Linked DNA regions of Saccharomyces cerevisiae S288C. Changing the gene in region 1 together with any one later gene gives a genetic interaction. Each region holds a gene or a part of one and is shown on either strand. Other genes may lie near its edges.

The links.
Region 2: mutations in MRX16 (region 1) and YNL046W together harm fitness more than expected from each alone (negative genetic interaction), as found in Saccharomyces cerevisiae (2 studies listed by BioGRID).

Annotation. Positions count from the first base shown.
Region 1 is NC_001136.10:712,832-729,746, reverse strand, and holds MRX16 (Mrx16p), read left to right. Parts: upstream 1-9,443; coding exon 9,444-10,931; downstream 10,932-16,915. Other genes in the region: RGP1 (Rgp1p), read right to left, coding at 1-1,488; ATP-binding cassette glutathione S-conjugate transporter YCF1, read left to right, coding at 2,196-6,743; YDR131C (uncharacterized protein), read left to right, coding at 11,287-12,957; FIN1 (Fin1p), read left to right, coding at 13,125-14,000; SAC6 (fimbrin), read left to right, coding at 14,368-14,388, 14,500-16,407; MTC5 (Mtc5p), read right to left, coding at 16,752-16,915.
Region 2 is NC_001146.8:530,562-546,759, forward strand, and holds YNL046W (uncharacterized protein), read left to right. Parts: upstream 1-11,742; coding exon 11,743-12,261; downstream 12,262-16,198. Other genes in the region: tyrosine/serine/threonine protein phosphatase MSG5, read left to right, coding at 1-850; COX5A (cytochrome c oxidase subunit Va), read left to right, coding at 1,164-1,625; Golgi transport complex subunit COG5, read left to right, coding at 2,098-3,309; YNL050C (uncharacterized protein), read right to left, coding at 3,518-4,313, 4,405-4,421; COPII subunit SFB2, read right to left, coding at 4,720-7,350; alpha-1,2-mannosyltransferase ALG11, read left to right, coding at 7,612-9,258; SLM2 (phosphatidylinositol 4,5-bisphosphate-binding protein), read right to left, coding at 9,350-11,320; LAP2 (bifunctional aminopeptidase/epoxide hydrolase), read left to right, coding at 12,402-14,417; YIP3 (Yip3p), read left to right, coding at 14,707-14,730, 14,810-15,316.

The DNA.
Region 1 (16,915 bases):
ATTATTTCTGTTAATTTGATATGCGTTCTGTAAATTAATTAGCTGAGGTAGAAGATTAGAATTCTCATCTGACTTAACGAGAGAACAATCGTTCCACATCTTTTGCTCGAGGTTAGAAATGTTATCGCGTACCGAATAACTTTTTCTCCTCTTAGTTACAGCATCGCTTCTCAGGCTAGACTCTGCAGACGTCACCATTTCGTTCGAAAAGTGTGAGTCGTTGGGTTCAGGATCCGAAGAATCCTCATCCTTTCCGAACTGTACCCCCATTTGCAAGTCAATAAGTTCGTCTATATCTCTTGACACATTTTGGTTAGATTCCACCAGTTCAATGAAGTTTTTTTTGACACGCTTGACAAATTCATTATCTTCTAATGGAGAATCAATGTCAATTATAGAAGATTTTCTCCTACCAAATGATACAGCAGAAGCCGTAGAAACTTTTCGAGTAAACAAACGTGGCTTTAGTTCCTTTATGTTACCTGTCTTTAATATGATAGCAGGCTTATCCAGACGTGATGTGTACTGTTCGGCATTCGAACTAATATATGGTGCTATTGTTATTGGGACTCTATTTGAAAATTTCTCGATATTATCATCAGAAAGTACATCCGCACCAACCTCCAGCGTGTAATTTATTGATGCCACTTTTGACGATGAATAACTTGGGCATATATCTTTTGGCAGCTTTGTGGATTTAAAATAGAATGTTCTTACTTCACCTGGTTCTAAAGAAATTTCAGAAAATAAAAGCGTCTGTGGTATTAAAAGAAGAGGTAATGTTTTTATACTGGTATCGTTTGATATCATTAAGGTCCGTTCGTTATAGGTACCTGTTCTTCCCCTAGAACCGCTTTCTGAGAAAAGAAGACCATTGGTCACATTTGTATAATCTGAGTTGAGGTAGTTGGTTAAATTTCTTTTACCTTTGAAATGTTCTCCATCTTCCAATGCAAGAACAGAATTTGTCGTATGTCCAGGTACAATATCTAGTCCTACCATTTTTACTTCATCTTGTTTAAATTTTGACTCTGAAATTACCTCTGAATCGTATTGAAAGACCCCCGATATTTGAACATAACCGGATATTAACGTTACAGGTTGATGAAAATACATTTGCTTCTGTATTTTTTCTCTTAACATCTTACTCTCATTTAGCATTTTCATGTTATCCACATCCACACTCTCTTCAGGTTCGCCTGTTCTTTTGAAGGCACCTAGTAATGATTTTAGGGACCAGGTTTGATTTTCCATCGTGCCTTCACCATCATCTTGCACTTTCGCTTGTTGTTCCAACTTCTCTTCAACAGCTTTATCGACAGTGAGAAGCTTTTCTTTATAGTTGAACAATTCATGCTGTGAGCCTAGGTGCTTAAATCGGAAAGCAATTGATATATGTTCTCCACCAAAATAGGAATTCGATTCATGTATGATCTCCAGTTTGATGTTTTCTCTTATGAGAAATGTATCGATTCTGTGCGCACGCATATCTTCTTCTAAAGTATGAAAAATATCACAATCAAAATCAACAGCTCAAGAAATTATGGGCTAGCTTTCGCTGTTTGTTTCGACTGGCAGCCTTTGCATTGCCCCGTAGGTATCAAAGCTTCTTTGAAGCTGAATTGATCTTGAAAAATAGCACTTTGGAGACGCGCCTTACGCTTTATAGGAGACTTCGGAGTAGACTTCGATTAAAAAATAAAAATTACACAAGAAGTTCAAGTATTATGTTTAATATTCAAACAACGTTTCCACCTCATGGAGAAATGAAGACTTTTATCGTTCTCCGTGAGGTGGATTTACTGTTATTGTCGTTAGAGTTCATGAATGTTTCTCTTGCGCGAGCAGATCTACTGGTCAGGAATCTACATTACTTTGCAATCCATAGTACGCTTGTTATGCTGCATCAATACGAATATATATATCTAATGCTAACATCTGGTTTCTGTAGATATCTTGGCGTGTGTTTCTTTATGATAATACAAAAATATGTAACTCCTGGTGTGATGCTTGGGCGGTGGAAGGTTACGGCTTAGTAATTACGAAATTGATGAAAAAAGTTAGCAGCTGCTATAAAAGGTGCGATAACCTCTTGTGATCATCTGCTATGTGGAAGCTGGTTTACAACCTACAATTTTTCAATTAACAGTTTGAGAATAAATTAGGGGTATCGTACTACCGTAAAGAACAAGAAAATGGCTGGTAATCTTGTTTCATGGGCCTGCAAGCTCTGTAGATCTCCTGAAGGGTTTGGACCTATATCCTTTTACGGTGACTTTACTCAATGCTTCATCGACGGTGTGATCCTAAATCTATCAGCAATTTTCATGATAACCTTCGGTATCAGAGATTTAGTTAACCTTTGCAAGAAAAAACACTCTGGCATCAAATATAGGCGGAATTGGATTATTGTCTCTAGGATGGCACTAGTTCTGTTGGAGATAGCGTTTGTTTCACTTGCGTCTTTAAATATTTCTAAAGAAGAAGCGGAAAACTTTACCATTGTAAGTCAATATGCTTCTACAATGTTATCTTTATTTGTTGCTTTAGCCTTACACTGGATAGAATACGATAGATCAGTTGTAGCCAATACGGTACTTTTATTCTATTGGCTTTTTGAAACATTCGGTAATTTTGCTAAACTAATAAATATTCTAATTAGACACACCTACGAAGGCATTTGGTATTCCGGACAAACGGGTTTCATACTAACGTTATTCCAAGTAATAACATGTGCCAGTATCCTGTTACTTGAAGCTCTTCCAAAGAAGCCGCTAATGCCACATCAACACATACATCAAACTTTAACAAGAAGAAAACCAAATCCATACGATAGCGCAAACATATTTTCCAGGATTACCTTCTCTTGGATGTCAGGTTTGATGAAAACTGGCTATGAAAAATACTTAGTGGAAGCAGATTTATATAAATTACCGAGGAACTTTAGTAGTGAAGAACTCTCTCAAAAATTGGAGAAAAACTGGGAAAATGAGTTGAAGCAAAAATCAAATCCTTCATTATCATGGGCTATATGCAGAACTTTTGGATCTAAAATGCTTTTAGCCGCATTCTTTAAAGCAATTCATGATGTTCTAGCATTTACTCAACCACAACTACTAAGGATTTTAATCAAGTTCGTCACAGACTATAACAGTGAGAGACAGGATGACCATTCTTCTCTTCAAGGGTTTGAAAATAACCACCCACAAAAATTACCCATTGTAAGAGGGTTTTTGATTGCGTTTGCTATGTTTCTGGTGGGCTTTACTCAGACATCTGTCCTGCATCAATATTTCCTGAATGTCTTCAACACAGGCATGTATATTAAGAGCGCCCTAACGGCTTTAATATATCAAAAATCCTTAGTGCTATCTAATGAGGCTTCTGGACTTTCCTCTACCGGTGACATTGTCAATCTCATGAGTGTGGATGTTCAAAAATTACAAGATTTAACACAATGGCTAAATTTAATATGGTCAGGGCCTTTTCAAATCATTATTTGCTTATATTCTCTGTATAAGTTGTTGGGAAATTCCATGTGGGTTGGCGTGATTATACTAGTTATTATGATGCCATTGAACTCATTTTTGATGAGGATACAAAAGAAGTTGCAAAAATCCCAGATGAAGTACAAAGATGAAAGGACCCGTGTTATAAGTGAAATACTAAACAATATTAAATCTTTGAAGTTATATGCATGGGAGAAGCCTTATAGGGAAAAGCTAGAAGAAGTAAGAAATAACAAAGAGTTAAAAAATCTTACAAAACTAGGATGTTATATGGCTGTGACAAGTTTTCAGTTCAATATAGTACCATTCCTTGTTTCATGTTGTACCTTTGCTGTATTTGTTTATACTGAGGATAGAGCATTGACTACTGACTTAGTTTTCCCTGCTTTGACTCTGTTCAACCTGCTCTCATTCCCACTAATGATTATTCCTATGGTTTTAAATTCTTTTATCGAAGCTTCTGTTTCTATTGGTAGATTATTTACATTCTTTACCAATGAAGAGCTACAACCAGATTCGGTTCAGCGTTTACCAAAAGTAAAAAATATTGGCGATGTAGCCATTAACATTGGAGATGATGCTACCTTTTTATGGCAACGGAAACCGGAATACAAAGTAGCCTTAAAGAATATTAATTTCCAAGCTAAAAAAGGAAATTTGACCTGTATTGTTGGTAAAGTTGGCAGTGGTAAAACAGCTCTATTGTCATGCATGTTAGGTGATCTATTCAGGGTTAAAGGTTTCGCCACCGTTCATGGTTCTGTTGCTTATGTTTCACAAGTTCCATGGATAATGAATGGTACTGTAAAGGAAAACATTTTATTTGGGCATAGATACGACGCGGAATTTTACGAAAAAACGATCAAGGCCTGTGCGTTAACTATTGATCTTGCAATTTTGATGGATGGAGATAAGACATTAGTTGGCGAGAAAGGGATCTCCTTATCTGGAGGACAAAAAGCTCGTTTGTCTTTAGCAAGAGCAGTTTATGCGAGAGCTGACACTTATTTACTTGATGATCCTTTGGCAGCTGTTGATGAACACGTTGCCAGGCACTTGATCGAACATGTGTTGGGTCCAAATGGTTTATTACATACAAAAACGAAGGTATTAGCCACTAATAAGGTGAGCGCGTTATCCATCGCAGATTCTATTGCATTATTAGATAATGGAGAAATCACACAGCAGGGTACATATGATGAGATTACGAAGGACGCTGATTCGCCATTATGGAAATTGCTCAACAACTATGGTAAAAAAAATAACGGTAAGTCGAATGAATTCGGTGACTCCTCTGAAAGCTCAGTTCGAGAAAGTAGTATACCTGTAGAAGGAGAGCTGGAACAACTGCAGAAATTAAATGATTTGGATTTTGGCAACTCTGACGCCATAAGTTTAAGGAGGGCCAGTGATGCAACTTTGGGAAGCATCGATTTTGGTGACGATGAAAATATTGCTAAAAGAGAGCATCGTGAACAGGGAAAAGTAAAGTGGAACATTTACCTAGAGTACGCTAAAGCTTGCAACCCGAAAAGCGTTTGTGTATTCATATTGTTTATTGTTATATCGATGTTCCTCTCTGTTATGGGTAACGTTTGGTTGAAACATTGGTCTGAAGTTAATAGCCGCTATGGATCTAATCCAAATGCCGCGCGTTACTTGGCCATTTATTTTGCACTTGGTATTGGTTCAGCACTGGCAACATTAATCCAGACAATCGTTCTCTGGGTTTTTTGTACCATTCATGCCTCCAAATATTTACACAACTTGATGACAAACTCTGTGTTGAGAGCCCCAATGACGTTTTTTGAAACAACACCAATCGGTAGAATTCTAAACAGATTCTCAAATGACATATACAAAGTGGATGCTTTATTAGGAAGAACATTTTCTCAGTTTTTCGTCAATGCAGTGAAAGTCACATTCACTATTACGGTTATCTGTGCGACGACATGGCAATTTATCTTCATTATCATTCCACTAAGTGTGTTTTACATCTACTACCAGCAGTATTACCTGAGAACATCAAGGGAGTTGCGTCGTTTAGACTCTATTACTAGGTCTCCAATCTACTCTCATTTCCAAGAGACTTTGGGTGGCCTTGCAACGGTTAGAGGTTATTCTCAACAGAAAAGGTTTTCCCACATTAATCAATGCCGCATTGATAATAACATGAGTGCGTTCTATCCCTCTATCAATGCTAACCGTTGGCTAGCATATAGGTTGGAACTTATTGGTTCAATTATCATTCTAGGTGCTGCAACTTTATCCGTTTTTAGACTAAAACAAGGCACATTAACGGCAGGTATGGTGGGTTTATCATTAAGCTATGCTTTACAAATCACTCAAACGTTAAATTGGATTGTTAGAATGACTGTGGAAGTTGAAACGAATATTGTTTCAGTGGAAAGAATAAAGGAATATGCTGATTTGAAGAGCGAGGCACCTTTAATAGTTGAAGGCCACAGACCACCCAAAGAATGGCCGAGCCAGGGTGATATAAAGTTTAATAATTATTCCACTCGTTATAGGCCGGAGCTTGATCTTGTTCTGAAGCACATTAATATACACATTAAACCAAATGAAAAAGTTGGTATCGTGGGTAGAACGGGTGCGGGAAAATCCTCATTAACGCTAGCATTATTCAGGATGATTGAGGCTAGCGAGGGAAACATCGTAATCGACAACATTGCCATCAACGAGATTGGGTTATATGATTTGAGACATAAATTGTCAATCATACCTCAGGATTCTCAAGTTTTTGAGGGCACTGTTCGTGAGAACATTGATCCCATTAACCAATACACTGATGAAGCTATTTGGAGGGCATTGGAACTTTCTCATTTGAAAGAACACGTGCTATCAATGAGCAATGACGGATTAGATGCCCAACTAACCGAAGGTGGTGGCAACTTAAGTGTTGGACAAAGACAATTATTATGTCTTGCAAGAGCAATGTTGGTTCCATCAAAGATTTTGGTGCTTGATGAAGCCACGGCCGCAGTCGACGTGGAGACAGATAAAGTCGTCCAAGAGACGATTCGTACTGCTTTCAAGGACAGAACTATCTTGACCATCGCGCATAGACTGAACACGATAATGGACAGTGATAGAATCATAGTGTTGGACAATGGTAAAGTAGCCGAGTTTGACTCTCCGGGCCAGTTATTAAGTGATAACAAATCATTGTTCTATTCACTGTGCATGGAGGCTGGTTTGGTCAATGAAAATTAAACTGTGAAACTAATAAAAACCTGTCCCGCACAATCTGGTACGTAGGATGGATAAAATAAATAAGTAAATAAGAAAAGTACTTTAATTTTCAACGAGATACTGGCTGCATAGCTTGCCTAGAAAGGAGACGTCACGTCACTTAGGCAAGAAAAAAGGAACACTTTTCATAATATTCATCATAATATCAGAGATCGGCCAGCAATAAAAAGATATAATGAAGGCAACGATGATAATGGCTTACCTCCTCACCACATACCCCTTACAGAAAAAAACCAACATTTCTCCGGAGAACAGGTGCAAGGATAATCCACATGCCGAAAATACGATCGACACTGATTCCTTTTCTGGTATCGTAAGGGGAACCTTATGCGGGGTAATGCACTTATCAGGAAATTCCGCAGCTTACCTTCGGAGAAGGGGCAAACCTTAATAACGGAAATGCAATTAGAATAGCAGCAAGGTGAGAAAAATAATATGAAGATGCCCTTCGCATTGCCGTTAATTTTACGTAGCTCATTCTGTCACCCTAATTCCAGAAATTCCCCTTATCTGTTTTTCGATTGAATTAGGCACTCTGGTGTCATAACAAATAAGGATTGTGGGAGAAAAAGTTTCATCCTAAAACCTAAAGTATGCTAATTTTATTAACTGCACGTTTTCTCCTCACTCATCCAAGGCTATAGGCATAGGAAACCGGCTCAAACTTCCTATTCAGTTGTCCTTGAAGGAGACTTACTTTTTGTTTGTTTTTTTATTTTTATTTTTATTATATTTTTTTTTTTCATTTGTTGGGGTCAACTCACACTGGTTCTCCGCCATATTGCCTTTCTGTCAAGCATTGAAACGTGCAACATGAATATTTTTGGCAGCCATTTCAAAACAATAGCATGGTGCGAACTGCTCCAACATGAATAACCGTGCTTCGACGCGGTGTTTTCTCTTGCCGGACTGCCCATGCGTTTCAGTGCGGAGAAAGTCATCCGTTTTGAAGTGCTGCTACAACACGATCGCTCAAAAAGGAAGGAGTTTTCCTATTTCGAATTGATGGCTGGGTTTGAGCTGCAGGACACGCTGCAGTGGGGAAGCCCTTTTAAATCCGCGAGTCCGGTCCGTGCTCACTTTTAGACGCGTGTTCCATCGGCGTTCGGATGGTTTCCAGTGAGAAAAGGGGCTACGCGTATGGTCGGTAGTCCCTTTCAGGGACCAGTGCAGAGGGTGAATCAACGGCCCCTTCACAGAAACCGCGCAGGAATTTTTCTGGTGTTTGTTATTTTTTTTTCCTTGTACTTATCTCACTTTTCTTTTTCTAACTATTTTTTTTGCAATTTTTTTGTGTACACTTTCCACAACATATAGGATGGTTTAGTCATCTCTCGAAGTATATAAACCGTTGCTGGATCGTGGTTGTTCTTCATCGACTTCTCTCTGCTAGACTCTCTTTTTTAAAATTTTTTCATAGAATAAAAAACCAAGGATAACAAACATCTTCTTTCGTTCGCTTCAAAATAACTACAAATTAAAAATGCAATTCTCTACCGTCGCTTCTATCGCTGCTATTGCCGCTGTTGCCTCCGCCGCTTCTAACATTACCACTGCTACTGTCACAGAAGAATCTACCACTTTGGTCACTATCACTTCTTGTGAGGACCACGTTTGTTCTGAAACAGTTTCCCCAGCTTTGGTTTCCACTGCTACCGTCACCGTAAATGACGTTATCACTTAATACACCACCTGGTGTCCATTGCCAACCACTGAAGCACCAAAGAATACCACTTCTCCAGCTCCAACTGAAAAGCCAACCGAAAAGCCAACTGAAAAGCCAACCCAACAAGGTTCTAGCACTCAAACTGTTACCTCCTACACTGGTGCCGCTGTTAAGGCTTTGCCAGCTGCCGGTGCTTTGTTGGCTGGTGCTGCCGCTTTATTGTTGTAATTTACTCAACCTTTTCTTTAATATATTTTTAGAAAAATGGTTAAGTACTTTTCCGTCAATACAGCTTCCACAAAATCGTTTTATTTCAATTAATAAGATATTCTGGTAATTTCTTATTCTAATTCTAGGAGGCAACACTCCATAACTAAATGTTTATTATAATAATATTAATATAAAGTTAATATCTCTTAGGTTACACGCAACTAAACTTTTTTTATATATACTGGTTGCATTGTATTTTTATCATATATCTTAATATAGGTTGTTTAAGGTTCGTTAATTCAAAAATAATGTTTTTTTGTTTGCCCAGTCGGTTTACGCTAATCAAGAACATGGATTCAATATCTTACATAATAAGCGGACGATGAGTCTATCTCGGTTTCCTCTTTTCTGAAATATAATAGTTTTATATTAGTGATTCATTATTACGATCTGGCCGGCTTATCATTGCTTCTTTTACAAACGTATCCTTTTAAGATTTTATCCGGACCACTGAGCTGGCATTTTTCTTAGCTTGCTTTTGTCTTTGTTGCACGGGCGACTGAACTTCTTGGAAAATCATGTAAGCCGCAATTGCTTACTAAGTCAAAATTCTAATGGATTCTCCTCTCGAATAAAATTGAATAGTCTGAGCAGTGAAAAAAATGTATATCTTATGTGTGAATGTTATATACCATAATCTAACGAAAGATAGCGAATTAAAGACCGGTCTGTGGCACTCGTAAATATTACCAACAAAGAAAGTTCCCAATATAATCATATAGAAAATGTCAAATTCTCCAACAGTAGCAACTTTGTCACAAGAATATTTCGATCCGAATATTCCTCAAATACTCCCACACGAGAAAATGTATAAGATTCAGGTGGGGAAATCATTATTCAAAATCAGCGGTGCTTCTTTAAGCTCGGATGGTCCTAGTTTCTTCACCGAATATTTTTCTAAGAAGCGCTCTCCTTCCAATAACGATGACAGTAATAACGATACCATGGAATCTAATAAAAATGAGGTTCTATTCATAGACAGATCAGCCGAAGTTTTTGAATGGATCTATCAACATTTGCAAGGATATATAATTGAGATTAAGGATGAAGTACAATATACCATGCTTTTCGCAGATGCGATGTACTACAATTTACCGCGATTGCGATCTTTACTGAAAGAAACGGACTATTATTTTACCAACATTGGTGGACAATCATTCAAGATAGCGAAAAATTTATTTAGAAGAGAAGGAGATTCCCCAAATTATTTCGAAATATATGCGGCTACAGTTTATATCGATGTGGAAGAGCTGATAATATCTAAAAAACTATTAAGGCCTCCATCTCATTCTGCTCCTTACATTCCAAGATCTTCTGAGTACTTCAAAGATTTGCTGACGTTACTGGGAGGAGCATCCATCGATCTAGATGATAATAAAAGAAATGCCTTGATAAAAGAGTGCCGTTATTACAGGCTTTTAAATCTCGAACAGCGGCTAATCAAATCTCATATTAGCTATAACCCAATAACAAGGAAAGAAGAGATTTGCCTCCTATTGAAGGATTTGTCAAAAAAAGGCATCACTTTTCCAGCTTCTTCTGCATTTTCAACCTCGCCCTACTTTGAAGACGATTTCTGTAGCATAAATGAATGCGACTCGCTATCAAAAACCCGTGAACAGCCAGCAAATAAAAAGATTAAACTTGACATGACTGAAAAATATAACGATTCCTGGAATATGCTTTGTTATAAGAGACCTTTTTTAGATAAGCATCCGAGAGAGTTGATATTTCAAATAAATTCGACTGATTGTACGATAATCCTCAATAAGGAAAGCCAAAGTATCCATGTAGACATAACTGGAGAATCCGCCTATAAGTTTGAGGCCTTATTTGGAAGTCATTTGCCAAATACACCCTCTGGTGCGCCTAAGTTGAAAAATTACCAGTATCGGTTCCCATCCGATAGTACGCAGACGAAAATTGAAACTCATTATTTACTTCCAGCATGCATATATCTCTGTGATTTGGACATAAACGGCATTAAGATTTCTCAAGTTCAAACTTTGCTAACTGATAAAAATAAATTCAATGACAGGGTCATTGACGTGTCTGATCCACTTGACCTTAGATTTTGTTCTGGTTTAAAGCTTTACTTAAGAAAGTCTCTCTGGAAACTGGCCGTGAAAGATGGCAATATTATGCTGATAGCTATTAAAGCTATAGCATTTAACGGAACTAAGGAATACTACAAGGGATATGAATATCTGTAGGATTAGCTTGATAAAATTACTCTTCTGCCAAGCTTTTAAGTATATGTATGCTCTCCGTTGTATTTTTTATATGCCATTATAGTACTTGAAGTATAACGGAAACCCATTGTAACTCACATTCCTGTAGTAGCTTCTTTTCTTACTTTTTGTAGGCTCTTGTCTCTTTTCTCTTGTTATTTATCAGTTAATATGTAAGAAAAAAATCGACTTCGGGAATTAGGATACAGACACCTCTTAAAACCAGAGATAAAGTAACGTAGAGAAAATAGTAGGATAATGTGTGCAAAAAGAAGAAACTTTGGTGTCTTAAAATAGATAAAAATAACCCTACTGCCAATTTGAAAGGGCCCGAAAAATGTTTGATAAGTTACCTTATGAGATTTTTAAACAAATTGCCTGGAGAATTCCGCAGGAAGATAAAATTTCGTTAACATATGTATGCAAAAGATCCTATGAATCAATTATACCTTTCATCTACCAGAATTTATTTCTTAATGAAACCTATCACATCAATGGTGACTATGATAACTCATTTGGAACCTGTTATTGGTCTGTCCTAAACTTTCACTACATAGATGAAGATGATTCCAATACTAAAAACGACATGTCGAATAGAAGACTAGCTAAAGTGAAATTTAGTTATTTCGAAAGAACATTAGCAGAGTCACCGAAAAGATTATGTCCCTTAATTAATCGAATACGTTGTACATGGCATTTAAATGAAGATGTGATGACAAATGTACTTAAATTGCTATCCGAGTATGGATCCAATTTGAAATTTGTCGATCAATTTGTTCGCTCATCAGTTAACAAGGGGCTAGAACCTTTATCAAAGCAATTAAAAACTCTAACATTAACGCCACCAACGTTAATGCCCACCCATAACAGTGTAAGCGGTTCTTATTTGAATAAAATTGATCGGTTGCTCTTGAAGTGCGATCTATCTCGATTAGAAAAACTTTCCATTCATATAAACGCATTGAAGTACTTCAAAAATACCGGGTCTCCTATGAAGATCAAAGCATTGGTATTAAATTTGCGACCCGACACACTTAACCTTGCGGAGTACGACGCTTCCGATGACTTCTTAAAAGAGCTAGAATACATCGACATATTTGATGCTTCCACCTTAAGGCAGCTAGAGATTTTGTCTTGGTACAGTCGCGACGATTTTCCCTCTGGCGAAGAAGGTGGTTTTGACAGGTTATATGTCAAATGGGGGCTAGAAGGATTTTGGAAATTTCCGAACATTGAGAAACTATCATTAGCGTCATTGGTTTACAGCGAATTTTTTCTAATGAATTGTTTGGCTGTGTTTCACAATTTAAAGATACTGAAACTTGATTACATGGGTAAATTTGACTTCGATGTGTCGTTGATTAACTTCTTATCTAAACAAGTGTGTGGCAAAAAATTACAGCGTTTTGACATACACTGCCAACTAAATCACAGGCTTTTTTTTCCCATGACAGATAACCCACTAACTCGCTTGAATTTCGATGGTTTCTGCCCTTGTTCAACTTGCAAAAATACAATTCACGAGGTCATTCTAAAAAAAATCTTTCCTGAAACCCGGTCAAAACTTTTAAAGAACCCAAATAAGTTCCAAGCCCATAATTTCTTTTACCAAATGTTTTTCGAGAACAAGATCATGCCCTATACAAACATTATTGACAACGAATCACCTGCGATGGGATGGGATTCTGTACCTATTGAAACGTTTGTACGAAAGTTCAATGAAAATCTGCAAAGCACCATAGAAAATACTGAGAATATTACAGTGAATAAAATTACTAGAGAAGATGCCATTAGTTTGTACCACTTATACCTTCATTATCTAAAAGACGTATTTAAAGTTTTTGAGCAAAGTTTGCCGAACTTAGAATATCTAACCATCAACGGTATACCTACAAAAATAATACAAGTGGACGAGTTACAACGATGCGCGGTTCCCCTCTTCTATAATAATGGCTATAAAAGCAACTCTGTTTATGAATTGGTGGACGCAGAAGCTCTATTTAGTTGATACTGTGAGACATGGCGGTTATAACACGTACATAATGATATATACTCTAAATACTGCAAATTGTCAACAAGAGGAAATCAAAACAAATGGATTGTATAGTCTAGTTAGAGCTTTCTCAGTGTTCTCACTGGATTGCAGTGATGTGACATAGTTCAATAAAACAAATTATGAGCAATAAAAGCAACCGCAGGAGTTTACGTGACATAGGGAATACGATTGGTCGAAATAATATACCAAGTGACAAGGACAATGTCTTTGTGAGATTGAGTATGTCCCCTTTGAGGACGACAAGCCAAAAAGAGTTTTTGAAACCACCTATGAGGATATCACCTAACAAGACAGATGGAATGAAGCATAGTATACAAGTAACACCAAGAAGGATTATGTCGCCGGAATGTCTGAAGGGCTATGTCTCTAAGGAAACTCAAAGCCTGGATAGGCCTCAGTTCAAAAATTCGAATAAAAATGTGAAGATCCAAAACTCAGATCATATAACTAATATAATATTCCCTACATCACCAACCAAACTGACATTCAGTAATGAAAATAAAATCGGGGGTGATGGTTCGTTAACGAGAATACGGGCCCGGTTTAAGAATGGACTCATGTCACCTGAAAGGATACAGCAGCAACAGCAGCAACATATTCTCCCATCGGATGCCAAAAGCAACACTGACCTCTGTTCTAATACTGAGCTCAAGGACGCCCCATTTGAGAATGACCTTCCTCGAGCTAAATTGAAAGGGAAGAATTTATTAGTTGAACTCAAGAAAGAAGAGGAAGACGTGGGAAATGGCATAGAATCCCTTACTAAATCGAACACTAAACTGAATTCCATGCTGGCGAACGAAGGTAAGATACACAAAGCTAGTTTCCAGAAAAGTGTAAAATTTAAACTACCTGATAATATAGTGACTGAAGAAACCGTGGAACTTAAAGAAATAAAGGACTTGCTACTACAAATGTTGAGAAGACAGCGAGAGATTGAATCAAGATTATCCAATATCGAACTTCAACTCACGGAAATACCGAAACATAAGTAATCATATCCCTTCTCACATTTTTTACACAGGAAGTAAGCAAGTTATGTTATATTTCCGACACTATAATTAATTCTTAGCAGTTAAAGGTGCTTTGTCTATATTACATTTACATACAGCTTGAGTGATCCTGACCGGATATAGGGTCCTATTTTCTTACGTGAACGGCTTTTCTTCTTGTTCCCGATGGCCTTCATGTGAAAAAGCACTCCTCGGGAGGCGGAAAAATATCAAAAGTACGGGGCGAAGTTTATAATGAAGATTTATCGATATAAATTTTGGTTATTTCAGGAGAACAAGAAAGCTCTTTACACTAAAATTATCAGAGAAGAAGCTGATATATTAGCCCTAAGGAGTACACCAAAACACAATGAATATTGTCAAATTACAAGTATGTATGCCTTTCTCGAATTCCCACACTGCTGAGCACAGTGAAAAAGTTTTTTCTACCTTTTAGGTTGTAATAAACGTTTCATATACTAACAAACTCTTCTGCGATTAGAGAAAATTTCCAATTTTGACTCAAGAGGATCTTTTTTCCACAATTGAAAAGTTCAGAGCCATTGACTTAGATGATAAAGGATGGGTTGAAAAACAGCAAGCTCTAGAAGCGGTGTCCAAAGATGGTGATGCTACTTATGACGAAGCAAGAGAAACCCTGAAGCATGTGGGTGTGGATGCGTCAGGCCGTGTTGAACTGGACGATTACGTCGGGTTGGTTGCAAAATTAAGAGAATCTAAAACAGGAGCTGCTCCACAGACCACTTTCAACGTAGCACCTAACTCAACCCCTATTGTTTCCACTGCTGCCACAGGACTACAGCACAAGGGTAAGGGTACTCAAGCCAAGATTATTGTTGCTGGCTCCCAAACAGGTACTACACATACCATCAATGAAGAAGAAAGACGTGAATTTACTAAACATATCAATAGCGTCTTGGCGGGAGACCAAGATATAGGTGATTTGCTTCCATTTCCTACTGATACTTTCCAATTATTTGATGAATGTAGGGATGGGTTGGTGCTATCTAAGTTGATCAACGACTCTGTTCCTGATACTATCGATACAAGAGTTTTGAATTGGCCTAAGAAGGGTAAGGAATTGAATAATTTTCAGGCTAGTGAAAATGCTAATATTGTTATTAATTCTGCAAAAGCCATTGGTTGTGTCGTTGTTAATGTTCATTCCGAGGACATTATTGAAGGTAGAGAGCATTTGATCCTGGGTTTGATTTGGCAAATTATTAGGAGAGGTTTGTTAAGTAAAATTGATATTAAGCTGCATCCTGAGTTATACCGTCTATTGGAGGATGATGAAACGTTGGAGCAATTTTTGAGGTTGCCTCCGGAGCAAATTCTACTACGTTGGTTTAACTACCATTTGAAGCAAGCAAACTGGAACAGAAGGGTTACCAATTTTTCAAAAGACGTGTCTGATGGTGAAAACTATACTATCTTGTTGAACCAGTTGGACCCCGCCTTGTGTTCTAAGGCACCATTACAAACCACAGATTTAATGGAGAGAGCTGAGCAAGTTTTACAAAATGCTGAAAAGCTAGATTGTAGAAAGTATTTAACCCCAAGTTCATTAGTTGCGGGGAACCCTAAATTAAACCTGGCTTTCGTGGCACATCTATTCAATACACATCCTGGATTAGAGCCTATTCAGGAAGAGGAAAAGCCTGAAATTGAAGAATTTGACGCCGAAGGTGAGAGAGAGGCAAGAGTCTTTACCTTATGGTTGAACTCTCTTGACGTTGATCCACCTGTCATTTCGCTGTTTGATGATTTGAAGGATGGTTTGATATTATTGCAAGCTTACGAAAAGGTGATGCCCGGTGCTGTTGATTTTAAACATGTCAACAAAAGACCGGCCTCGGGTGCAGAGATATCCAGATTCAAAGCCTTAGAAAACACCAACTATGCAGTCGACTTGGGCAGAGCCAAAGGATTTTCTTTGGTTGGTATCGAAGGATCTGATATTGTAGATGGTAACAAATTACTGACCTTAGGGTTAGTGTGGCAATTGATGCGTAGAAATATTTCGATAACCATGAAGACATTATCCTCAAGTGGTAGAGACATGAGTGATTCTCAAATATTAAAGTGGGCCCAAGACCAGGTAACTAAAGGTGGTAAAAACTCTACCATTAGATCATTTAAGGACCAAGCTTTATCAAACGCCCACTTCTTATTGGATGTTCTGAATGGTATCGCGCCGGGCTATGTTGATTATGATCTAGTCACCCCTGGTAACACCGAGGAAGAAAGGTACGCAAACGCAAGATTGGCTATTTCTATTGCTAGAAAGTTGGGTGCTTTGATTTGGTTGGTGCCAGAAGATATCAACGAAGTTCGTGCAAGATTAATTATTACTTTTATCGCTTCGTTAATGACTTTGAACAAATGAGCCAACAAACAACTTTCGTAACCTGTTTTCTACTCAGCTTTCTTGTTCCAATGCTCCGTTATACGATTGGTTAAGTGTACAACAATATATAGCCTCAAGTATTTCTGAAGTTTTTAATATGTAATAATAGATTTCAACTTCCACCTACTTTTATTCGTGATTACTGAGCCATTGTAAAAATGCCTCCAACGCTCAATGATTCCGTTGTCGTCTTCTATCATGCCTCTACTGGATTAAAAAATCGTAAATAAACTACTTATTAAGCCATATATCCTGTGAACTTTTTTTCATATACATCCAAGGTTCTTTGAAATATGCAGAAAATGTACGTGATAGTTAAGCTTTTAGGCATCGAACATTTCCGGACAATTGCACCCACATCCAGATGGGCACTCATCACCAATCTCCCACCATATCCTCGCGCACGAAGAGTGTAAAACATGTTGACAATTTCCACATATGAAGCTACTTCTTGTCACTCTTAAATCACAGTAATTACAATTTCGGG
Region 2 (16,198 bases), on another chromosome or scaffold:
TTTCCCGGAGGAGGACTCGGATCTGAATATTGATATGGTGCATGCAGAGATTTATCAACGAACGGTTTATTTAGATGGACCATTGCTGGTACTGCCGCCTAATTTGTATCTATATTCAGAACCCAAACTAGAAGATATATTATCGTTTGATTTAGTCATTAATGTTGCCAAAGAAATACCGAACCTGGAGTTTTTAATACCGCCGGAAATGGCACATAAAATAAAATATTACCATATTGAATGGACACACACATCCAAGATCGTCAAGGACTTATCCCGATTGACACGCATTATACATACCGCTCATTCGCAAGGCAAGAAAATACTCGTACACTGTCAGTGTGGAGTATCAAGATCGGCGTCATTGATTGTGGCGTATATCATGCGATATTATGGCTTGAGTTTAAATGATGCATACAATAAGCTGAAAGGTGTTGCTAAGGATATAAGTCCAAACATGGGTCTCATCTTCCAACTTATGGAATGGGGAACCATGTTGTCCAAGAACTCACCGGGCGAAGAAGGAGAGACTGTTCACATGCCTGAGGAAGATGACATCGGAAACAACGAAGTTTCCTCGACTACGAAGTCCTACTCTTCTGCGTCCTTTAGAAGTTTTCCCATGGTAACGAATCTATCATCGTCGCCGAATGACAGTTCTGTCAATTCTTCGGAAGTAACGCCAAGAACTCCTGCTACGTTGACTGGAGCAAGGACCGCACTGGCCACAGAACGCGGGGAAGATGATGAGCACTGTAAAAGTTTGTCTCAACCCGCAGATTCACTGGAAGCTTCTGTGGACAACGAATCAATATCTACTGCCCCGGAACAGATGATGTTTCTTCCTTAAGGGACAGCATCTCCCAAAAGAATCTTTATGACTATCAGATCTGCAGGCAGACCGCCTCCCTACGCTTCTAAATAGAATGTACTTAGCACTTCTGCCTACATAGTAATTATTCATCATTGTAAGTGTCACATTGCAAAAATCGTCCAATAGACGTTTTCCTCGTTTGTGATTGGCCCTACGTTTTGCGCCGATACAAGCGGCGGCGAAAAGTTAAAAAGAACAATCAATTAAATAAGAACCATCAGTCCTCGTATTTTGTCTTCTGTTTGCAAGCAATGCACCAAACACAAGATCAACTAAGAACGCATCTACAATGTTACGTAACACTTTTACTAGAGCTGGTGGACTATCACGTATTACATCCGTAAGATTCGCTCAAACACATGCTCTTTCCAACGCTGCTGTAATGGATCTGCAATCCAGATGGGAGAACATGCCCTCCACTGAGCAGCAGGATATTGTCAGTAAGTTGAGTGAACGTCAAAAATTACCATGGGCACAGCTTACTGAGCCTGAAAAGCAAGCTGTGTGGTACATTTCTTACGGAGAATGGGGCCCAAGAAGACCTGTATTGAATAAGGGTGATTCCAGTTTTATTGCCAAAGGTGTTGCTGCAGGCCTACTATTTTCAGTGGGACTTTTTGCTGTCGTCAGGATGGCGGGTGGCCAAGACGCAAAGACCATGAATAAGGAGTGGCAGCTAAAGAGTGACGAATATTTGAAGTCGAAGAATGCTAATCCTTGGGGTGGTTATTCTCAGGTCCAATCTAAATGAACAGGCCAGAAATTTTGAAAGGAAATCAATAGGGGTTAACGATTGTCATGGTTTTTTCAGCTAGTCTGTGACCTGTACGAAAGTGAATATCTTATTACATTATAAGTGTATCCATGGGCATCCGCCCAATACAATGCCAACATATCAAACATAAAATTGGCTGATTGCCACTCTCACATTTTTTCTTTATTTATTTACTCAAATTTTGTAATTTTTTGTTAGACATATAATTTTATATCATTATTCTTATTATTCTTATATTTAAGGGAACCCCCCTGGAATGAAATAAGCTAATATAGTATGAGGGAATCCTGTATAAATGGGTTTACCTTGTTATTCTATGCCTCCCTTTCAAAGACGTATTTCTTAAAAACTTCTCCATTTGGTTGAATACTATGAAAAAAAAAAAATCAACTAGAATAGATATGGAAGATAAAAATGTGTAACAAAAAAGAAGAAAAGAGCTGGAGGTATGACAATAGCGCCAATGGCAAACGATTTAGAAGATTTTGAGTCTCTGCTGGAGCCTGATTTTGATGCTAAACAATTTGGTAATGACTTACTGAAGGCTACTAATAACAATGACACAACCATTTTAGACCTTAACACGCCTCTTAAAAAGCTAAACTATGATCTACATGAGATTGACTCTAGAATAGACCAATTGATGAATAGCAACCCATTGGAGATAATAGAGTTAATTTACAAAAATGAACACGTCAATTCAACCATAGTTGGTGAGTTGAAACCAAGTTTGGGATATATGAATATGTCGTACGATAGACTAAAGAATCAAGTTCTAGATCCTTATGAAAGAGCGAGGAAAGTCCAACTAGCGTTGAGTAAAGTTTACCAAACATCTTTTCTCTTGCGCGGAGCATTGCTTTATATTCATTTATCAAACAAATTAAACGCACTGTCTAAAACAGCCCAACTAAGCACATCAACAGCTATTAATTTAGCCTCCTTACACTACCAACTTGAAATTACTTTGGAAGAAAATAAAAATCTAAAATCCTTGCGGAAAATTAAACAATTAGATCAGGACATTGTTTCCCCCAACAAAAGAGAGTTAATAACATTTTTGTCTTTACAAATGTGTAAAGAGTGCTTGAACTCTATTAAAATCAAATCGAACAAAGAAATAATATCTCAGCTGGCCTACTCCTTATATCTACTTTCATCTCAAGAATTCGAGTCTGCAATAAACAAGATTGTACTATCTAATGTTACAATGAGCTCACAAATCCTATCAAAAATTTTAAATTCTATCAGGATGTTTCCTGATGCGTTCAATGAAGTTGTTGAAAAAGGTTATAACATCTACATTTTAGAAACACTACTACAGAACATCAAAACGGATAATGTTACGAATTCCTCGAGATCTATTGCTGCTAATAAATCACGCCTTGGCAATCTTTTATCAGAATATACCTCAATGAAGAGTAAAGCAGGTTCTGGTACACCGAGAGATCTGTTTTGGAGCAAAGTTTCATCTGCCTTCAAAAAGGACTTTGATATATCTGTTAATAGAGGAGGCCCTGTGGGCAAGTCGCTGTTAAAAAATAAAGATTTTATTATAAACACTATGAAGCAAAGTATGAAAAAATCTTCTGATAATAGTGATTACCAAAGCTACTTGGATGTAATGCTAAACTCAGTATCTATTTCTCTAAATAAGTGAGACAGTTTACATAAAATTAAGAATGTTGATGAAATAGGATGAATCTAAAGCAATTTTCAATAGCATGTGCATATGTTTAATAAAAATTACATGAAATGTAATATTTGTTTATATTATTAAAGATTATACTAGTAATAGTTATTATGAGAAATCCAATATCGGTTAGTTTATATGAAGTATTAATATGTATATATATACATTTACGTGGTCATTCTGTCCTAAACTTAGGGGTACTGCCAGCTTTTGCCAGTGGGTTCAAAGGTACCTTTTTTTTGTTTTTCTTTCCACCACGCTTATGAAACTTTTTCTTCAACTGTTTCTTTATCTCACGAGCTTTGGTATCACGCTCCTTGGTTCTTTCAAGTGCCAGTTTTTTGGCTGCACGTTGCTTTTGACCAGGTCTCCTCTTTTTAATCTTCAATTCCTTCTGCTGCTCTAACTCTATTCTCGCATTGTGCTTATACAGATCTATTATTCGACCCTGGCAATATGGCCATTTATCACGAATACGTAGATCATCCTCCAGAATTTTTGTACTTTCTTGTATTATCACATCATAGTCGATAGAGCTCTGTTGGAATTGCAGCTTTTGGTCTGCAGAATAGCTTGCAAAGTAGTAGTCTTTGGGCCTTTCTTGGTTGATTATTTCTTCTTCAGGTTCCTTCAATGAAATTTTCATCAAACTTACTTCAGTCTGTGGCGTATCCTTCTCTTGAGTTGATGAACCTTGTTCTTCTTGAGCTGGGCTAGTCGATGCTTCAACCACACCAAACGAAAATAACGGGAACTCGAATTCTTCTTGTTTTTCTTCCTTTTGTTCATGTGCGCTGTTATTACTTTCTTTGAGATCTAATGATGAGTCGGTTCTTTCAACTTCAACGAATTCAAATTCTGTTGGCGGTACTAATACCTCTACATGCTCACTATTATTTTTACTACTACTATTGGAATCATAATCTTCTCCTAATCCCTCTCCTTCATTATAAAGATCTTTTCTTGATACTCTGCAAAATAATTAGAATATTAAACGATTCGTTGAAAAGTTAGTAAAAAAATGAAATTAGAGGCAAACTTGTATCTTATGTCAAAGCATACATCTTAAATTCAGACATTTTTATACTGAATTTCAATGTTTTTCTTTTTTTTTCATTAGAGGAGATTTTTCCATTGCTGTTTAAATGAAACTGGTCGTATTTTAAGTACTTCAAATTTTTCTTTTTCGTACTGATCCGATGACTTGAAAATACTTATTTTTTATGTAGGAACAGAATGGCATTTTTGAAGTACATAACTCTCACACGCAAAGGCCAAAATCTTTCACGATTTACTTTTATTTCTATCTGTATTGTATATCAAAATCTATACATGATGATCGGTTAATAAAGATAAAGATTAAAGAAAGACTGATTGTTATCTGTTGATACTAGTCTTCATACTCTGTAAGTATTCTCTATAACTAGCACAATTTAAAACTTTGTCTTCGACAAGAGTACTTAATACCCATAGCCTTAAAGAAGCCATATCTTTTTCGGAGTTTAGGTTGGCGGGCTCGTTAATAGATGGTCCTCTTATTATGTATAATGATTGAAATGTGATTGTATCATTGTTTTCTCTAATTCTACCGATTATCCTCCTTAGTCTTTCATTGAAAGGCGAATCGTTCAAAAGAGGCAGTTCACTTTTCCCCACAGGAATTTGAGATATGGTGTCAGTATTGAATACATCTATTAGTAACTCAGGAACAGCATCTCCGCCAACCCATAAAAATAATTCTGCGGAATTGTCAATTAAATACAGGCCATATCTTTCGAAAAGAGATATAGTGGCATTTATAGGTTCAGGAAGAACCGTTTTTCCTTCAAAGTCAGGTAGACCGACTTCGTCGGGCATGTCGTGCAGGGAGTAAACTGTAGGGTAAATGCTCTTTATCAAATAATGAAGAGGCTCCGTTTCCAATCTATTCAACGCACTTGCACGGTAATCGCTTGGAACAACGCCCGGTCTGAGGGCTATATGTTTACTTAGTCCATTCATTAATAGAGGTAACATTCTCAAATTTGCGCATAGGTTAAGTGAGGTTACTGAATTTATATTAGACATCGAAATTTCTTTTTTGTAGGCATTTAAAATATCTTCGAGCGATTTTGTGATAAAATCCCTCGCAGAGTACATGCTTGAATTCAAAGCCTTAGTCACCGCGTTTTGTGTCATGAAATCAGTAATGGCTAGTTGATCTGCGGATGCAAACACTTCCCTAGCTGATTCGGACGTTGGTAGAGCTAACGTCATGACTCTAATTCTACGTTCACCAGTGTTTAGAGTCAACAATGTTGACACTTGCAAGTAGCAATATTCTGCCATTAATGAGTCTTCGATGGATATCCCGAAAAGATAAGACTGATCTCTAGGCATTGTGGAAAAAGCGCATAAATCAGAGGATCTGTTAAAAAAATGGCCAAAAAACGATGTGGCCCTCAAGCCAGTAGAACAACGAACTCTCATAACAGCTTCCATTGAAATATCCATGGATAAATGCCTTGATAATTCCCTAGTAAACTTAGTAACATCGTTCAAACTGGTGGCATTAAAACCAGGATAAAAATGTGTTTGACCACCAGAAAAACGGCCCAGGTGAGATAGAGTGGCAACGTCCATGTAGTCCTCTGATGCCAGAAACATGTCCACTGTTATTTGTAGTTTATTACACTCAATTGTGAATGTTTTATAAAAGGAATCTTTACACGACAGTAGCTGAGAGCTTTCTTTTGGTGTGTTTAATATGCCCTGTTCACTTCTTTTTTTCAATTTCCCGATGCCAGTATTTGGTAAAGTTGATGAAATGACTTCAACTTTGCCTCCAGTGCTTTTTATCAAATTTGACGCAGCTTTTAGGGCAGGTCCAAGTGCAAACTTGCTACTGTGTGTGTCTTGAAAAATTTCAGGTATCTTTTTCAACAATGTTTCCAGATTATTTTTACAATATTTTAGTGGAACTACTAATTCATCACTCGGCATTGGTAAAAATGGTTCATCCAAATCGCCAATATCAAACATTTGAATTGTTTCTGAATTATCAACGTCTTCCTCTTCCTCGTCTTCATCTTCTTCTTCACCATCTGATTCTTCATCATCCTCATCCGATACTTCATAATCATCATCCAAAGGAACGTAAAAATAATGAAGGCTATGATCAACACATATAATAGCAATTCTGGTCCTTCCATCATGATTTGGTAGAAATTCTATGTTTTCTAAAATGGTTCTGGCAGAAGTAGCCAATAAACCATTTTTGACAGCGTTTTGAGAAACATCTAAAAGAAATACATAAACAGATGGTGGGGGTTCCCTAACAGAATATTCTACGGGAGCCAAGTAATCCACGACAGAGTTTTTAATTTCGTTTCTTTCATATCTGTTGATTGGAGCGCCTTGTAAGTTCTGATCAAACCCAAATGGGACATCATTTTTGAAACGGCATATATTACATTGCCATTTTCTCCCTTGGTTAATGAAAACGACAAAAGGGTTCATATATGAACGACAACGGCGACAGCGGACAATGACTCCGTCAGTATTTAGCGGTACTTGGTTGTCTGAATCTTGCAAATGCAAATATGGTCTAATAACAATGGCAAATGGTAACTTCGTTTTCTTCAGCAGAGAGTTTGTTTTTGGCACCGCTTTCAAAGTAGATCTGACGTACTGGTATGGAACATTTGAATATTCGGATGGAGTCACAATGTTATCCTGAGAAATGGTGATTGGAAGAGGTGGTAAAGACAGGTCACGGATTGGCGGAGGTAATTCTGTAAACAAATCCACAGGGTATAGTTGATTGACCACTTTCCCAGAACCAGGAAACTGTTGATTTTGAGCTAGCTGTGTAAATGAGTTAGCCCTATTGTTCAATTGTAGGTTGCCCATTGCATAAGCTGTTTGGTCGATTTGTTGTTGAGACTGCTGTTGCTCTGCAACTATTGGCATACTTGCAATGTATGGCACCTGAGCTTGAGGGTACACCCTCTTCTTATGATGAGACATTATTCACTGCAGCTGTCGATCATTAATGGAAGAAGGTTCATCAACCAAGCACACTGCAAATGAAGGGTTAGATGAAGAGTTCGACGAAGACCCTTTTAACTGACGTATCATTCATCGTTGTCATCGCTACATCTATGTCCTTCGGGTAAGCTAAACAAAAAGTGAAAAGTTCAATAAATAATAAGATTGAGAGGTAAGTGAAGTGAAGATAGATGTTAGTATCCAAGTGTGACCAACATGTTCAGGTGATTGCAGGCGAAAATGGGCAGTGCTTGGACAAACTACAATTTTGAAGAGGTTAAGTCTCATTTTGGGTTCAAAAAATATGTTGTATCATCTTTAGTACTAGTGTATGGACTAATTAAGGTTCTCACGTGGATCTTCCGTCAATGGGTGTATTCCAGCTTGAATCCGTTCTCCAAAAAATCTTCATTACTGAACAGAGCAGTTGCCTCCTGTGGTGAGAAGAATGTGAAAGTTTTTGGTTTTTTTCATCCGTATTGTAATGCTGGTGGTGGTGGGGAAAAAGTGCTCTGGAAAGCTGTAGATATCACTTTGAGAAAAGATGCTAAGAACGTTATTGTCATTTATTCAGGGGATTTTGTGAATGGAGAGAATGTTACTCCGGAGAATATTCTAAATAATGTGAAAGCGAAGTTCGATTACGACTTGGATTCGGATAGAATATTTTTCATTTCATTGAAGCTAAGATACTTGGTGGATTCTTCAACATGGAAGCATTTCACGTTGATTGGACAAGCAATTGGATCAATGATTCTCGCATTTGAATCCATTATTCAGTGTCCACCTGATATATGGATTGATACAATGGGGTACCCTTTCAGCTATCCTATTATTGCTAGGTTTTTGAGGAGAATTCCTATCGTCACATATACGCATTATCCGATAATGTCAAAAGACATGTTAAATAAGCTGTTCAAAATGCCCAAGAAGGGTATCAAAGTTTACGGTAAAATATTATACTGGAAAGTTTTTATGTTAATTTATCAATCCATTGGTTCTAAAATTGATATTGTAATCACAAACTCAACATGGACAAATAACCACATAAAGCAAATTTGGCAATCCAATACGTGTAAAATTATATATCCTCCATGCTCTACTGAGAAATTAGTAGATTGGAAGCAAAAGTTTGGTACTGCAAAGGGTGAGAGATTAAATCAAGCAATTGTGTTGGCACAATTTCGTCCTGAGAAACGTCATAAGTTAATCATTGAGTCCTTTGCAACTTTCTTGAAAAATTTACCGGATTCTGTATCGCCAATTAAATTGATAATGGCGGGGTCCACTAGATCCAAGCAAGATGAAAATTATGTTAAAAGTTTACAAGACTGGTCAGAAAATGTATTAAAAATTCCTAAACATTTGATATCATTCGAAAAAAATCTGCCCTTCGATAAGATTGAAATATTACTAAACAAATCTACTTTCGGTGTTAATGCCATGTGGAATGAGCACTTTGGAATTGCAGTTGTAGAGTATATGGCTTCCGGTTTGATCCCCATAGTTCATGCCTCGGCGGGCCCATTGTTAGATATAGTTACTCCATGGGATGCCAACGGGAATATCGGAAAAGCTCCACCACAATGGGAGTTACAAAAGAAATATTTTGCAAAACTCGAAGATGATGGTGAAACTACTGGATTTTTCTTTAAAGAGCCGAGTGATCCTGATTATAACACAACCAAAGATCCTCTGAGATACCCTAATTTGTCCGACCTTTTCTTACAAATTACGAAACTGGACTATGACTGCCTAAGGGTGATGGGCGCAAGAAACCAGCAGTATTCATTGTATAAATTCTCTGATTTGAAGTTTGATAAAGATTGGGAAAACTTTGTACTGAATCCTATTTGTAAATTATTAGAAGAGGAGGAAAGGGGCTGATGTTTTTTGAAAATAGAAGCCTTGTTTATGAGAAAACTTATACATAATATTACATACAAACTAGAGCATTACTATATAATTAACTTACTTGTCACAGCTGATTGCTTTTTCTAGGGGAATCTACATTTTCAATGTAAAATTCAGGAACCCTATTCTGAATTTGTGAATCATTCGTTTCCGGTATCGATGACGTGGTGTTAGTGATTGTCAAATTGTCTAATTTTGGAATGGAATTCAAGGGAAAATTGCTACTACTCACATCATCGTATCTCGTATGTTGCTCATTAGTTACCTGGGGGGTCACGCTCTCCGTGGTGTTTTCATTACTCTTGGCTTTTTCTTTAGACAGTTTGGCAACTTTACTCACATATTTGCATTTGTCGTCATAGTTGGGCAAACTTGATAAGGCTTTGATATTTCCAAACCATTCTATCATATCGTCATAAGAGTCTACTTTGAATACCCAGTTGTGACCCCTATGTATTAGTCCGTTAGAATTCGTACGCAATATAAACTTGTTCTTGCCCTGCTCTGAGTTGGATTTCGTCTTTTTGGAATGCTCAGTGACAGTACATTCCACTAATGGTATTGACATTAACGGTGTGGAAAATTTATGCTTATCTGGTGTCTTAAATTCATGTAAAAAGCTTGGAGTGAGGACATAAAACCCACGTGAGTATGACTTTAAAAATTTTGATCTTTTCTCCAGAAACCCAGATTTAACTTCAAAAGTAAAAGGATCGTTTTGATTGCTATACGAGATCTCTTTAAACCTCCTCATGGGTAAATTTGGAGGCACAAAATTGGAAATATTCCTTAGAATGAAACTATCCCATTCAAGATTCGTGTTTTTGTTCAGTATCGTGGAATCTAATTTAGAGATAACTGAGTCAAATACAACTTGGGCTTCTTTGCCAAGAATTCTAGCGTAGCTGGTCAATCCGTTCTGTATTTCCATTACAATAACACTTTCTAACTGGGCCCCTGAATTCTGCAAGTTATCGAATGCCTCGTGCAAATAATTTTCTTCCACCAACTGTCTTTTGATTTGCTTTTCCAATTGCAATTTTATCAAAAATGGGTCACTCTTTGGTGTACCTAATTTACATTCTTTTAATGATTCATTAAAAAGCTTCATCAAGTGTTTAGTTTGCTGAAGCTCTTTGTTACAGGAATTTTTAAAATCAGATTGCAAAGCCTTAATTTCTTTAATCTTGACTAGTAAATCTCTTCTCAAATCCTCTAGCCTGGGTATAATTTCACTGGTCAACTCCTTGGAACTTTTCGATGCCAAAGAGGCCAGATTATCATGATACTTGGTCAGCATCGTGGGCAAATCTTGAACGGATCCACTTCCTAAGGGCAGAAAAAATTTCTGCATGGACTTGTCTTCATTAGAGACCGGTTGATATTGGTTTTCAATGCTGAAAAAGGGGAACTGCACAGCATGGGACAACCTCAGTTGCTGTCTAACTATTTCGTCCTGTATTGAGGCGGTCTCAGAGAGATATACCAAGATGGCACGAATAACATTTCTCCAGGCAGAAAACCTAGCAGACAAGACATCAGTGGGCTGCGCAGAAGTCGGTATCAGTATCGCCAGAGGGGACCTAGGATCGTTTTGGTTAGAATCATACTGCTTCTGGTGGCTATGTAAAGACATTTTTGGCAGCGTTAGCATGGAAGGGTCAGTGAAGGAACCAACATTATTGATATTGTTATTATTAATATTATTATTTTGTGATGATGGAATATTATTAGAGTTCAAAGAGTGCGTCGTATTGGTGCCAGCCGCAGCATCGACTATCGAATTTTGCCGATCGTGATCATATACGTTCAACTGAGCCGGGATAGTGGGATCGGAAGTCACAGCGTCGATAGGGTAAGGTATAGGATTGCGTTGCGCAAGCGACGAGGGTAGTGACAGGGGTATGTTCTGGCCTTTTTGTTGCTGCTGTTGATAGGCGGGATTAAAATGTTCTGACCTCATTCTGCCTTCCAGTTGTTGATATTGACTTCTGAGGTCAAGAGAGGCTCTTGCACTGTTCCGTTGGTAAGACATGGTGCAATGGACGGCTGGGTAAAGCGTATAACGCTCTCCTAAACCTTTGCTTGCGCGGTCATCTTCTCATGTAGTAGGTTGCATCGCCTTTTGATTAAAGAATGCGGCATGACCCGGAAAAAAGAGGCAGGTATTGGCTAATGACTACTACCATTATGAGTTTTTACCAGTATCAGCGCCATCATTAGGAGGATATATTAGCATTGGTGGACGTAAGAGCTCCTAAATATACAAGCATCGCCGTGATGTGTTATATATTGCAGCTTTATCTTGCTGGAGTGTCTACCGTATTTACTTCTACTTTTGGCATTTTTTTCGCCAATGCTGGCTCGAACAAGAAACTGCCTGCCATTTGAATTATTCATATATAAATACACTAATCATACGTGAGCATAGTGTGACAATTTCGGCGCAAGATATTAATGGAGCACGTATCAAAGAGGTCAATTGGGCAATTCTTTAAGAGGAAAACTTCAACTGTAGATGGAAGCAAATCACAGAAATGCGGAACCACTAACCAACTGCGGAAGCTGCTGCATAAAAGAAGGGTACAGAAGCAGGCAGTGCCGGTTGAATCCCAGTACAGAATTCCGGGTGATTTTAGGGATAATCAAAGCGTGAGAGTCAAAAACTCTATGTACAACAGCTCACCGTCAGTAACGCCATCTACGCATCATATCAATGAAAGGTATGTTCGCTATGACATCAACACAAGGCCTTTGGTTGTTGTGCTCGCGATCTCAATTGTATTTTTTGGCTGTCTCCTGGTCCTCAAGGACATCATCATCCAGTCATCAGAAAACATCCTGAGTGTTTCCAAATGGAAAATCATAGGGGCCTCCTTCATGGGTACGCCCTACACAGGTCTTCTCACGGGGCTCGTTGGCCCTCTCCTGTCACCATTTTCGGCTGTTTCGTCGTGGCTTTCATTCATCTTTTGACACAATGCGTCTTCAGTTTCCGGGGGCATTGCGTATGGAAAATCATGTCACTTTTTTTCTTCCACTTTTTCGTTTGACTTATATAAACGCACTTTAGTATAGTTTGCTTTATGTATTAGGTTATCTTGGTGTTCTAATTGATGTTCTTGCTTCCATTTGTCATTCGTCATTCCAGCTCTATTTACCTGCCCACGCTTCGATTTCGAGGTTTACTTACTGTAATCTCAAGAAACATACACATTTCCACCCCTCATAAAATGTTGCCTCTTTCAATTGAGCAGAGAAGACCTTCCCGCTCCCCCGAATACGATCAGTCTACTTTATCAAATTATAAGGACTTCGCAGTTCTTCACACCGATTTAAACCTGTCTGTTTCCTTCGAAAAGTCAGCCATTTCAGGGAGCGTTACATTCCAATTGAAAAAACTGCACGAAGGTAAAAATAAATCGGATGAATTACATCTGGATACATCCTATTTGGATGTCCAGGAGGTTCATATTGATGGTTCCAAGGCAGATTTTCAAATTGAGCAAAGAAAGGAGCCATTGGGCTCCAGGTTAGTCATCAATAACGCTTCTTGCAACGATAACTTTACCTTGAATATTCAATTTCGTACGACTGACAAGTGCACCGCTTTGCAATGGTTGAACAGCAAGCAAACCAAGGGCGGTAAACCGTACGTGTTTTCACAGTTGGAAGCTATTCATGCGAGGTCTTTGTTCCCCTGCTTTGATACTCCCTCTGTGAAGTCTACTTTCACTGCATCTATCGAGTCCCCACTACCAGTGGTTTTTTCAGGCATCAGGATTGAAGATACAAGCAAGGATACTAATATTTACAGATTTGAACAGAAAGTCCCTATCCCAGCCTACCTGATCGGTATTGCTTCCGGTGATTTGTCAAGCGCTCCAATTGGACCTCGTTCCACAGTTTACACTGAACCATTTCGTTTGAAAGATTGTCAATGGGAATTTGAAAACGATGTAGAGAAATTCATTCAAACTGCAGAGAAAATTATCTTTGAATACGAGTGGGGCACTTATGATATCTTAGTTAACGTCGATTCGTACCCTTACGGCGGTATGGAGTCTCCGAATATGACTTTTGCTACGCCCACCTTGATTGCACATGACAGATCCAACATTGATGTCATCGCCCATGAACTTGCTCACTCATGGTCTGGTAACTTAGTGACCAATTGTTCGTGGAATCATTTTTGGTTGAATGAAGGTTGGACCGTTTACTTAGAAAGAAGAATTATTGGTGCCATTCATGGCGAACCAACTAGACATTTCAGTGCTCTGATTGGTTGGAGCGATTTGCAGAATTCTATTGATTCTATGAAAGATCCTGAAAGATTTTCCACTTTGGTACAAAACTTGAACGATAACACTGACCCTGACGATGCCTTTTCCACTGTTCCGTACGAAAAGGGGTTCAACTTACTATTTCACTTGGAAACTATTTTGGGTGGTAAGGCTGAATTTGATCCATTTATTAGACACTATTTCAAGAAGTTTGCCAAAAAATCATTGGATACTTTCCAGTTTTTGGATACTTTGTATGAGTTCTATCCCGAAAAGAAAGAAATTTTGGATTCCGTTGACTGGGAAACTTGGCTGTATAAACCAGGTATGCCACCAAGGCCTCATTTTATTACGGCTTTGGCTGATAATGTTTATCAATTGGCTGACAAGTGGGTCGAAATGGCTCAACATTTGAAAACCACAGAGGATTTCCGGTCTGAATTTAACGCTATTGACATTAAGGATTTTAATTCAAATCAATTGGTTTTGTTCTTGGAAACTTTGACACAAAATGGCCATTCCAACAAGAAACCAAAAGATTTTGACTGGGCCAAGTTTCCCGTGGCATCTAGGGCACTGTTAGATATCTATCAAGATAACATTGTTAAATCACAGAACGCGGAAGTTGTTTTCAAGATGTTCAAATTTCAGATCTTTGCCAAGCTGCAAGAAGAATATAAGCATTTGGCCGATTGGTTGGGAACTGTAGGTAGAATGAAGTTTGTCCGTCCCGGTTACAGACTATTAAACTCTGTAGACCGTCGATTGGCACTTGCAACTTTCGACAAATTCAAGGACACGTATCATCCAATCTGTAAAGCTCTTGTGAAACAAGATTTAGGTCTTTGAAAAGGGACGTGTCGTAACATGAATACGTAAACAATTAAATATAACCTACTAATGAGCCTTCATTGCTACTTCTCTGGTTCTAATTAGTGGCGGAGTTCTGTGTCGTGCGATACGAATTTTGCACTTTTGTCACATGCAATCGAGGCAAAAAGAAAAAATAAATAATAACAACGAATATAAATACAAATCGAAAGAATTCAGATTGAATTCAATATTGCAGGGCTTTGAACACTGAGTTTGGAACTATCAGCCGTCAAATACGCATAAAATAACATCAAATACTCCAATAATGAATCAGTTAGGAGCTTTAGCCGTAAGTTCTAAATTGTAAACACATTTGCATCATTGAAAAACTATACTAACGCGTTAACCTTTTTTCTATATTTCTATAGCAAGTTTCACGTTTCACTCAAAACTTCTCCATGGAAAATATTAAGAGCGAGTTCCAATCCTTGCAATCTAAATTAGCAACCCTTCGCACCCCGCAAGAATTTTTCAATTTCAAGAAAATTTCCAAACCTCAAAACTTTGGGGAAGTTCAATCCAGAGTGGCGTATAACCTGAAGTACTTTTCCAGTAACTATGGTTTGATTATTGGTTGTTTGAGCATTTACACATTATTAACAAACTTGTTGCTACTCTTTGTTATTGTTCTAGTCGTAGCTGGTATTGTTGGTATAAACAAACTAAAGGGTGAGGAGCTCGTAACTCCATTTGGTTCTTTCAAGACCAACCAACTATACACCGGACTGGTTTGTGTTGCTGTGCCAATAGGTTTCTTAGCTTCGCCAATCTCAACTTTGCTATGGTTGATCGGTGCTTCTGCCGTCAGCGTTTTCGGACATGCATCATTGATGGAAAAACCCATCGAAACTGTATTTGATGAAGAAACTGTTTGAACACTCCTACAAGTGTTGGGAAAAGGAGTCATTCTTTTCTATTGTGTATTTTACTCTTCTTCAATATTTAGTTAATTCTTGTCTTTTATTCTCTTTCTCCGTCAACATTAGTATTTAATTGTATACAGACACCATTCATAATTGCAGTTAGCTTCTCTGTTCTTTCTCATTCCTAGGATTTACAATGCAGTCTTACCTTATTTGTTTATGTTTTTTTCGTTTATCAAGCGTGCAATCAATTACTGAAGATTCACGTGCCAAAACGTAAAAATAATAATAACATAACCCGAGAGAGGCAAGATTAGAATCAATTCATCTTTTCAAACAAATGGTTATATCGACTAAGCGAAGTGATTAGATGGTGTACGTCGCAGATATTCAACAGTGACGAATTATATGCGATTGTAAGATTGATTGGCAAATCGTATTCCATTACTACTATTAACAACTGATGGCATCTAGAAGGTAAAAAGGGTCAACGTAGATGAGGTAGAGTTTGAGCTTAGGGCCCTGCCGAGTTTTCATTAGAAGACCTCTACTACACTTCAAAATGAAATACCCCTGCATCACCAGATTCATCAACCTAAACGTACAAGACGTATGAAACACGTATGAAACAGTTGTTGCGAAAAAAACAAGATTAAGTATTTTCAAAGCCCCGGTTGCCTTGATGAACCTAAACGTATAAATAGTTGAGCAATCAGTTTAGCTCCGAAGATCTATGCTTCCACCCTTTAGTCAGATTTAGATCCTATATAGATTATATGGGATAAGTAACATTCCGTCAATCAAGCTGCTCTTCTGACAGGTATTAATATTGTTAAGACGGCTAGTATTGACTAACTTCATGACACAACCACTGTTGTATCTCAAAATGAGATA